2 linked regions of the Arabidopsis thaliana genome follow. The protein of the gene in region 1 interacts with the protein of each later gene in a pairwise test. Each region holds a gene or a part of one and is shown on either strand. Other genes may lie near its edges. The genes, in order: AT3G03550 and AT1G74840.

Region 1 (4,373 bases):
GAGAGTTGGGAACCCGCAACTGTTGTTTTGAAGAGATCTAGTTACCAGATTAAAACGAATACCACAGAAGCTGTAGTGATCTCAGAGAAATACTCAAAGGAACTTCAGGTAAAAAAGATTCTTAGACATTGAGAATTAAAGCTTTCCTCATTTTCTTGGTCATCATAATTTAAACAAACTTTGCAGATAAGAGTACCGTCTGGAGAATCCACACAGTTTGTACTGATAAGTTATGATGGATCTTCACATCCCATAAGCACACTCAATGTCCGGTACGTATATACATTTCTCTGCATATAGCCATATACAGTAATTTTGTATCTCGTTTTACCGCAACATTATTTTACAAACTCACACCTAAAATCTCATGATTTTTGGCTTCTTCTTTTTTTTACCAGTATGCGTGATACGCTAGTCTTGACGATGAGAATGCTTCAAAGCAAGGTATGTTTTGAGAATTACTAAAACTAACCTATAAAATTGAACTAATTAGTTTTATAGTTTCATAACAATCTTTTTTATCATGAAGCAGGCACTGGACGAGCGCAGAAAAGGACGAGTTTAAAAGTTAGTGATGACTACACACTACAGAACAGATCCATCCTCGAGACCTTCAAATTTAAGTTTAATAAAATGGGGTCTGCGATTTCTATTTTTATAATTGAGTAATAATTGTTATCGCTATAGTTTTTGTATTATTATTTTTTGTCGTTTAGGTTCTATGTTTTTCTGAACAACAAAAATAAATCTTATTGTAATAGACTGTAACATTCACTCTGTACTGAATCTTCTTTTTTCTTTTTAAATAATACTGGGAAATACTATTTACAATGAGTGCACAACGAATTAAAAAGCAACTGCAAATTAAAAAAAAAAAATATCTGTCAAATATTTTTGTAAAATTTTAAGAAAATATTTAATATAACAATTAACAAATAACAATATTCTCCCAAACAAAGCTAAAACAAAAGAAATAAAATAAAAGCAAAGAATAGACACTTGAATCAGTAAAATAATTAGATTTGGTTAGACATCAAGCTAAAGAGGTTTTGTTCCAAAACATGAGATAACAGACAGTAAAATACATCTAACTTTATAGCCAGTTGGCATAACAACAATAACAACAACAAAAGGGGGAACAACTTTAGGCATGTGCAAATAGATGTGTAATCAATCATTTACGTCATATGACATATATAATTGGGTTTTACAGTTTATCTTTGAGCCCACAAGATAATTTCATTAAATCAGCTTAACGATTATGATTAGTAGCCTATTATTATCATTTGTGTAATTGTTTTTTAATCACACTTTACAGATATATACGATCTCGTAGCCTATTGTTAGCATTTGTATAATTGTTTTTAATCACACTTTATTATTATTATTTTCAACTTCTACATGTAAATATGTTATTTTGTACGTAGGGCATATGGTTGGCGAGTTCACATCAATCGTCCCTTGAACAACTATTAAAATTTTGTATTATAGTTGTCATAAATATGTAAACTAATATAAAACTGTATGTATTCGAATCATAGCAATGATTTTTTTGGAAAATCATTACTTTGATTACAAAACAAAAATGAAAAATCGTATAACGTGAATGTTATACTACTGTAGTTGAAATGAAATGAAAATATTCTTCTTCCATGTAGGTAGTCGGTAAATTGTACTGTATTTCTGACCACAACTTTAATAGATACGTCGAGGAGTAAATTTGTCATCCACGTGGCCCATGTTATAGTATTCCACCTTCGTCAACACTTCACCAACCATTTTTTTATGCCTTGAAATAGACTAAACCCTCTCTCTCTTTTTATTTCGTCAACACTAAAACACTTCTTATGTTACGTTCTCATTTCTCAAAATAAAATCAAAAAAAAAAAAAATGAACTCCATTTATTTTACTAATGTATTAATTTATCTTTAAAAAAAATGGAAGCATAAAGAGAAAGCTAAAGAATAAAAATGAATAAAGCAAATTCTACACCTTTATTCATACTAGAAATAAAAATTTGATAAAGTAGAACATTCACTATAAACATCATTCAATTAGTATTAACACCATCATGCAAAAGCTTTCATGAACATATATATTTATTCATTATCTCCTCTAATAATACCAATTAACTCGAAATAAAAAAATAGACACTTACCAGACAAAAGCAGAGCCCAAAGAAAAAGGAGAGAGACACTTGACACCTCCATCTTCTTCCTTGCTCTCTCTCTCTATCTTTCTCCAACAATCAAATAATGGGTTCAACAGGAAACCCTAATCCATGGGGTACAACATACGATTCATACAGAGACTGTTCTCAAGGAGTATGCAGTGTCTATTGCCCTCAATGGTGTTACGTCATCTTCCCTCCTCCTCCTTCCTTCTATCTCGACGACGAAGACGACTCTTCCTCCTCTGATTTCTCTCCTCTCCTCATCGCTCTCATCGGAATCCTCGCTAGCGCCTTCATCCTCGTCAGCTACTACACTCTCATCTCCAAATACTGCCACCGCCGTCGCCACAACTCCTCCTCTACCTCCGCCGCAGCTATAAACAGAATCTCATCAGATTACACCTGGCAAGGAACCAACAACAACAACAACAACGGAGCTACGAATCCGAATCAAACGATTGGTGGTGGTGGTGGCGATGGACTCGATGAATCTCTGATTAAATCGATAACTGTTTACAAATACAGAAAGATGGATGGATTTGTTGAATCTTCAGATTGCTCTGTTTGTTTAAGCGAGTTTCAAGAGAACGAGAGCTTGAGATTGTTACCTAAATGCAACCACGCGTTTCACGTTCCTTGTATTGATACTTGGTTGAAATCTCACTCTAATTGTCCTCTCTGCCGCGCCTTCATCGTCACTTCCTCCGCCGTTGAGATCGTCGATTTAACCAATCAACAGATCGTTACGGAGAACAACTCGATTTCGACCGGAGATGATTCCGTCGTTGTCGTTAACTTAGATCTGGAAAATTCTAGATCTCGGAATGAGACGGTTAATGAAGGATCGACGCCGAAACCACCGGAGATGCAGGATTCAAGAGACGGAGAAGAGCGGAGATCGGCGTCGTTAAACTCAGGCGGCGGTGTGGTATCGATCGCAGATATACTAAGGGAGATTGAAGACGACGAAGAATCAGCGGGTGTAGGAACTTCTCGGTGGGTAGAAGAAGGGGAAGGAGAGAAGACGCCTCCGCCGTCAGGATCGGCGGCGAATCAAACAAACGGAATTTCGAATTTTCTGGTTCGGAGTTCAATGGCGGCGATGAAGAGATCTGGTTACGATAGAGCAAAAAATTACCGTTTACCGAAATAAGTTATAAAAAAAAAATAAAAAAATAGGGAATTTGAAATTATTTTTAAAAATATCAAAAAAGTGCTGATTGGCTTTTTTAAAAAAATCTATATTTTAGTTTTGGTAATCTTATTATAACAATCAGAATCATTGTAAACCATTTGAGAAACAGAGCAATCAAAGAGTTTTGAATTTACCGCCCAAATATTCTTACGTATTTTTTTTACTTATAATTAATCTACATGTTCTTTTTCTTTTCTAGTGATGCCACTTCCTAGAAAATACCAGTTATGGTAAGTTTAGCTATATGTCACCACAATGACACCATGCAATTTTACGACATCCATATTAATTGTTAAGCTTAATATATATACAAAACGATGATATTTGCAAGGGATTTGGTGACCAATAGATGCACTCTAATTATACACGAGATCCTAAAATTGCAAGATACGAGAGAGGGAAATAAGTCAAGTATGAGATTAATCTATGCGCCTAAAACAAGTTTTTTTATTGCATGGGATCCAGGGCCGGCCTCATGACATGATCGATCACATCAGCCTGAGATCGCTGATGTTTACTTGATCAATAAAAGACGGCTATTGTTTATATTCCGAATTTTCATATGCATTGATAAAGATTATTAACGTAAAACATATATGCATATTTTAAACTTTGTGTGGTTTGTTTAGTTTTAATATACATTTTTTTGCTAATATCCAAGGCTAGAGCACTGAATTCTTTCTACATGTGAATATTGTGTCGGTAAGCCTTTTGAATAATTCACAATCCTTAGAAGATTTCCTCAAAAACAATGTTCAATTTTGAGAGAATATAATGAATTTTCAATTTTACAAAAATTAACTTGAAAGATCTTTTTTCCTTCTTCCTAATTTATAATTCGTAAATAATTACATCATTTTTTGTGCTTTCTTCTGCTCGATGAATAGATGACTAATAAATGTTAGAGAGCAAAGCTGAATAGGAGAATTATGTACATCTTATGTGCATCTTAATTTTAAACATGGTGTTGTGTTGGAAAACATTAGAGACATCGTTACGTTGAT
Region 2 (4,677 bases), on another chromosome or scaffold:
CTCAGCTCAAGCAGTTACTGTCAACGAAAGAGCCAACTTCAGAAGAATCCGAAAATAAAAACCTAGTGGCATTAGCAAACTCGCCAATATTTGCGGCTGGAACAAGAGCTTCAACAAGCAGTGACACGAACCACAGCGGTAACCCTACACAACGAAGAACCAGGACGAAAAAAGAACTAGCAGGGAGCACAGCTTAAGAACTAGACAACGTAGTTTCTGTTGCCAAGTCCAGAAATCAAAGGCCTCTTCTGCCTTCCTCCATATAGACTGGTGGGTGAAAACTGTGGGCGTATTTCACAAGCACTCCATATCCATGATAACTATGCTATGGTTTCAAGCAGTAGAGTCAACCTCTGTTAGACAGAAGAAGCTGGAGAAGAAGATAAATGGTGATCTTAGTTTATATGAAGAAGCGTCTATATGAAAATCTCAAGTAAGTAGCCAACTAAGTGTTTTGATGGATTGTTAGACCCATGATTTTGCAGCCATAGATTTTTTTTCGTTTTTTTTTCCATTCAACTATGTTTTTGATTACTATAAAGCTAAATGCTAATGTAAGATCAAAGCTCTAGTTACAATTAAAGGATCTATTAATCAAGATTCCTCAGGGAAGCTCTAGTTTTTGCTTGTGACCTCACCTGATGAACTCTCTCTGTTTCGAAATCTAACTTATTACATAGCAATGACCCAACTCCACCCAGAATAAAGAAAACAATCTGTTGTGCAAGATTCCTTCTTCGGTCTGATTAATCTTTTTCTCTCTCTCGTCCTCAGATATGTGTTTGTTTTCTGATTTAGGAAAGTCACTACAAGTTTGTCATCCAAATTGGTAATAAAATAAGAAAAAGATTGGAGAAAGAAAGGATCTTCCTATAGTGCTTCACACATTACAACTTTAAGATTCCACTTTGTGTGCGCATAAAAGTAATGGTGGCTTTGCTTTCTAACCGATGCTAGTGCTTTGTGTGATTTTGCTGTCTTCCAAAACTATTTACCAAATTTTGTAAATACTTTTTAGAATCTTTTCCCTACAAATCTAAAATAGATAAATAATAATAGTATGTGATCATATTGCTTACAGTCAAATCACATCCTAACATTCTACTAAAAGACTAAAACTATCACCTTTTTGTTTTTTAATGCTATATAGTTGTGATCAAGTCTGGACATACGATCATGCTGTTTATACTACAATTAGGTCCTTAACAGCGTCTTAAAATTTACTCTTAGCTAGAAAACGACAAATTCGACTACACAATCATTTTTGTTGTTGAATTAGATTCCTGAAATTGTAAGTTTTTGTGTTGAAATTCAAAGTTATAATTTCCAAAAAGGATTCACCTGTCTCCCAAGATTTTTTTCTTAATAATCAACTCATAGATCCACAAGATATAGTATTTTAGAAGAAAAAAAAGTACAAGGATGGAGCTGTAACTAAATAGATTATTAGAGCAGAGTACAGAATCATTTCAGAAGCTGACTATTTTTCTAAGCTCAAGTTGCATGCGCTTAGGCCTTAGAGACATTGCGTTGACCAGTACATTATAACCTGTAGATTTTTATCATAAAAATACATGAGGGTAACGTTAAGAAAAATAAAAGCGTCGATTTCATTTCATTTTTCTCATTCTGTTATTTCATTTTTTTGTATTTAACTTTGAGTTTGCGAAAGTCAATAAATATTTCTTCGTTATACGACCTACATTTTTTGGTCGACATAGCGAAATACTTTTTTAACTTCTTATTATAGGATAACATTTATTTAACTCTTTTTTCGTCATCCTATAAGATTAATTAAACTACTAACAAAAAACCTAATAAATCTAGTCAGCCAATGAATAAAAAAAGTCTATCCAAATGAAAACTCTGTAGAGAGACAGGCAGGTAAGAAAAAAATACAAGAACAGACGAATAAAAACAAAACACGTGTCATATGGTACCGTCACCAACACCTACAACATGTAATAGTTTAAAAAGGAACCACGTGGCTTTTGGCTTATAAAAGGGTCCCCAAAGAAGCTCAGATCTAACTCACACCACTCCATTGCCCATTGCTCTGTGTACTTTGCTTCTTTAGGAGAAAGAAAGCACAAGGGGCAAAATCGGAAAGATTATCATGGCCGACGGTAGTACTAGTTCTTCGGAGTCCACTACCGCCTGCGCTGGAAGCGGCACAAGAAGAGAGATTATGCTGTTCGGAGTCAGGGTTGTGCTTGACCCGATGAGAAAGTGCGTGAGTTTGAACAATCTGTCTGACTATGAACAGACGGCGGAGACTCCAAAGATCGACGGCGAAGATAGAGATGAACAAGATATGAACAAAACCCCGGCCGGTTACGCCTCGGCGGATGAAGCTCTTCCCATGTCTTCTTCTAACGGCAAAATCGAGAGGAAACGAGGTATTACTCTTCGATTGAAACTTTTTTTTATCATTCCATAAATTTGATCACTTTAAACTTAGGGATTTGTTAGATATGGTTTGAGAAATGGACTATGAACAACTTTATGTTCATTTGGATTTAGAAAGATGGCTAATTTATTGGGTTTCTTTCTATTTCTTAGGAGTTCCATGGACTGAAGAAGAACACAAGCTGTTCTTGCTTGGGCTGCAGAGAGTCGGTAAAGGAGATTGGAAAGGAATATCAAGAAACTTTGTCAAGACCAGAACCTCTACACAAGTTGCTAGTCATGCTCAGAAATACTTCCTCAGGCGAAGTAATCTTAACCGTCGCCGCCGAAGATCTAGCCTTTTTGACATGACTACTGATACGGTAAATCTCTAATCCTTTGTGACTCTAGTAAGTTAAGTGGTTAGGTTTAGTTTTTAGCTTAGTTGTTTAAAAGAAACTAATAGAGAGCCTTTGTGAATTGTTGGTTAGTGAAAACTTAAGTATAACAAAACTGATTTTGCTTGGTTTTGTTATCAGGTCATACCCATGGAAGAAGATCACCAAGTGCTTATACAGGAGAACACATCTCAATCATCTTCTCCTGTACCGGAAATCAACAACTTCTCTATACATCCGGTTATGCAAGTCTTTCCCGAGTTCCCGGTACCAACAGGGAATCAATCATACGGACAGCTTACTTCATCGAATCTCATCAATTTGGTTCCATTAACTTTTCAGTCAAGTCCAGCACCGCTTTCTCTCAACCTCTCACTAGCTTCATCTAATCTTAATGAACCATCTCCTTCAATGCATCCAGCATTCAACACGATTGGAGTCGCTTAGAGCTTATCCTAAAGGTGAAAATCTGCAACACACCCTGTTTGTTTCTTTGCTGTACAGATAGGTCTTGACTTTGTTATAAAAAAATTCGTCAAATTTATGTATTTGGCTAAAAAAAATCTGTTGAAAAGAAGAATAATAAACAGAGTTTGGAGATAGGACTTAAGTGGGGTTTTAGGGTTCATAATCATCCTGTGTTTTTCCTTCCATGTTTGGAAGTTGTTGTAATACTCTCTAAGTTCATTCGTGTGGATCTATCAAAACTTATAAATCATATTAACGTTATGTTTGTTTTATTCATGATCTCAATCATAAACAGAGTCGTAGTACTTGCTTATCATGTGGCTATCTAAATCATGTTAGATGATTCATGGGGTTTTAGGGTTTTTATAATATATCTGATTTCCAAGGATAAGATATTTTATGTTTGTAGAATAATGTCATTATCTTTAATGATGCCAATAATGTCAAATTTTATTGGTCACTTCCATCATAGTGGAGCTTTTTCTTTTCCCATCAGATGCTTTTAATATATTTTGTGTGGGATGATTACATATTACCCCTGTTGCGTAAGCAATAATCTTCCAATCACAGAACATGATCCCCATTCATTAATCGACCAATCAAACAGCATCATTTTTATATGATGATGATGTATATGTGTATGTCATGTGTGTGTTGGCATGTCCTCTGTTTCTGTCGTGTATGGTTGTATTCAGTTTTAGCGTCAACGACAAACTTCTCCTCACGTCTAAGCGGGGAAAAAAAAAAAAAAAACGAATCCAGTTTATCTTTGTTTGTTTTGTATCTCTCTGTCTTTTGACATTGTCTCTAAATTTATCAATTTCAAATCTGCGACTATCCTTTGTTTTTGGGTACTTTATCTCATCAAATTCCAGCCCAATCTAGACTCTCTAAACCCAGAAATAGAAACACAAATCACAAAAGATTGAGATAGATAGATCATGATCTCTGTTCTTTGTTGATCTTTGACCAAAATTCGATCTCCTATGTATATACAATTGCTCTGTTTTTTCTTGTTCTTGTTTCTGCTTTTACAAGCCACAATGTCTAAACGTTCTTTCAAGAAATTTGTGGAACAAGAACTCGGATCTCTTCCTCATTTCCTCATCTACACTGTTCTTGAATGGAGCCTCATTGTTTTCCTCTTCATCGACGGCGTTATCGCCTTTCTGTCAAACCAATTCGCCAAATTCTTCGACCTCAACATTCCTTGTCTTCTCTGCACCAGAATCGACCACATTCTCGTCCCTAGAGACCCTCAATTCTATTACAACGAGTCAATCTGCGACTCTCACAAGAAGAAAGTATCTTCTCTTGCTTATTGCCATGTCCATAAGAAGCTCTCTGAGATTAAACATATGTGTGAAGGATGTCTTCTCTCTTTCGCCACCGAGAAAGATTCTGACTGTGATACTTATAAGTC

The links.
Region 2: the proteins of AT3G03550 (region 1) and AT1G74840 interact in a two-hybrid assay, tested with the Arabidopsis thaliana proteins (one large-scale study listed by BioGRID).

The regions. Positions count from the first base shown.
Region 1 is NC_003074.8:849,345-853,717, reverse strand, and holds AT3G03550 (RING/U-box superfamily protein), read left to right. Parts: upstream 1-1,976; 5' UTR 1,977-2,256; coding exon 2,257-3,327; 3' UTR 3,328-3,610; downstream 3,611-4,373. Other genes in the region: AT3G03560 (uncharacterized protein), read left to right, coding at 1-108, 187-272, 399-444, 533-565.
Region 2 is NC_003070.9:28,114,757-28,119,433, reverse strand, and holds AT1G74840 (Homeodomain-like superfamily protein), read left to right. Parts: upstream 1-2,011; 5' UTR 2,012-2,116; coding exon 2,117-2,399; intron 2,400-2,562; coding exon 2,563-2,771; intron 2,772-2,927; coding exon 2,928-3,233; 3' UTR 3,234-3,991; downstream 3,992-4,677. Other genes in the region: PTAC2 (plastid transcriptionally active 2), read left to right, coding at 1-197; AT1G74830 (myosin-binding protein, putative (Protein of unknown function, DUF593)), read left to right, coding at 4,241-4,677.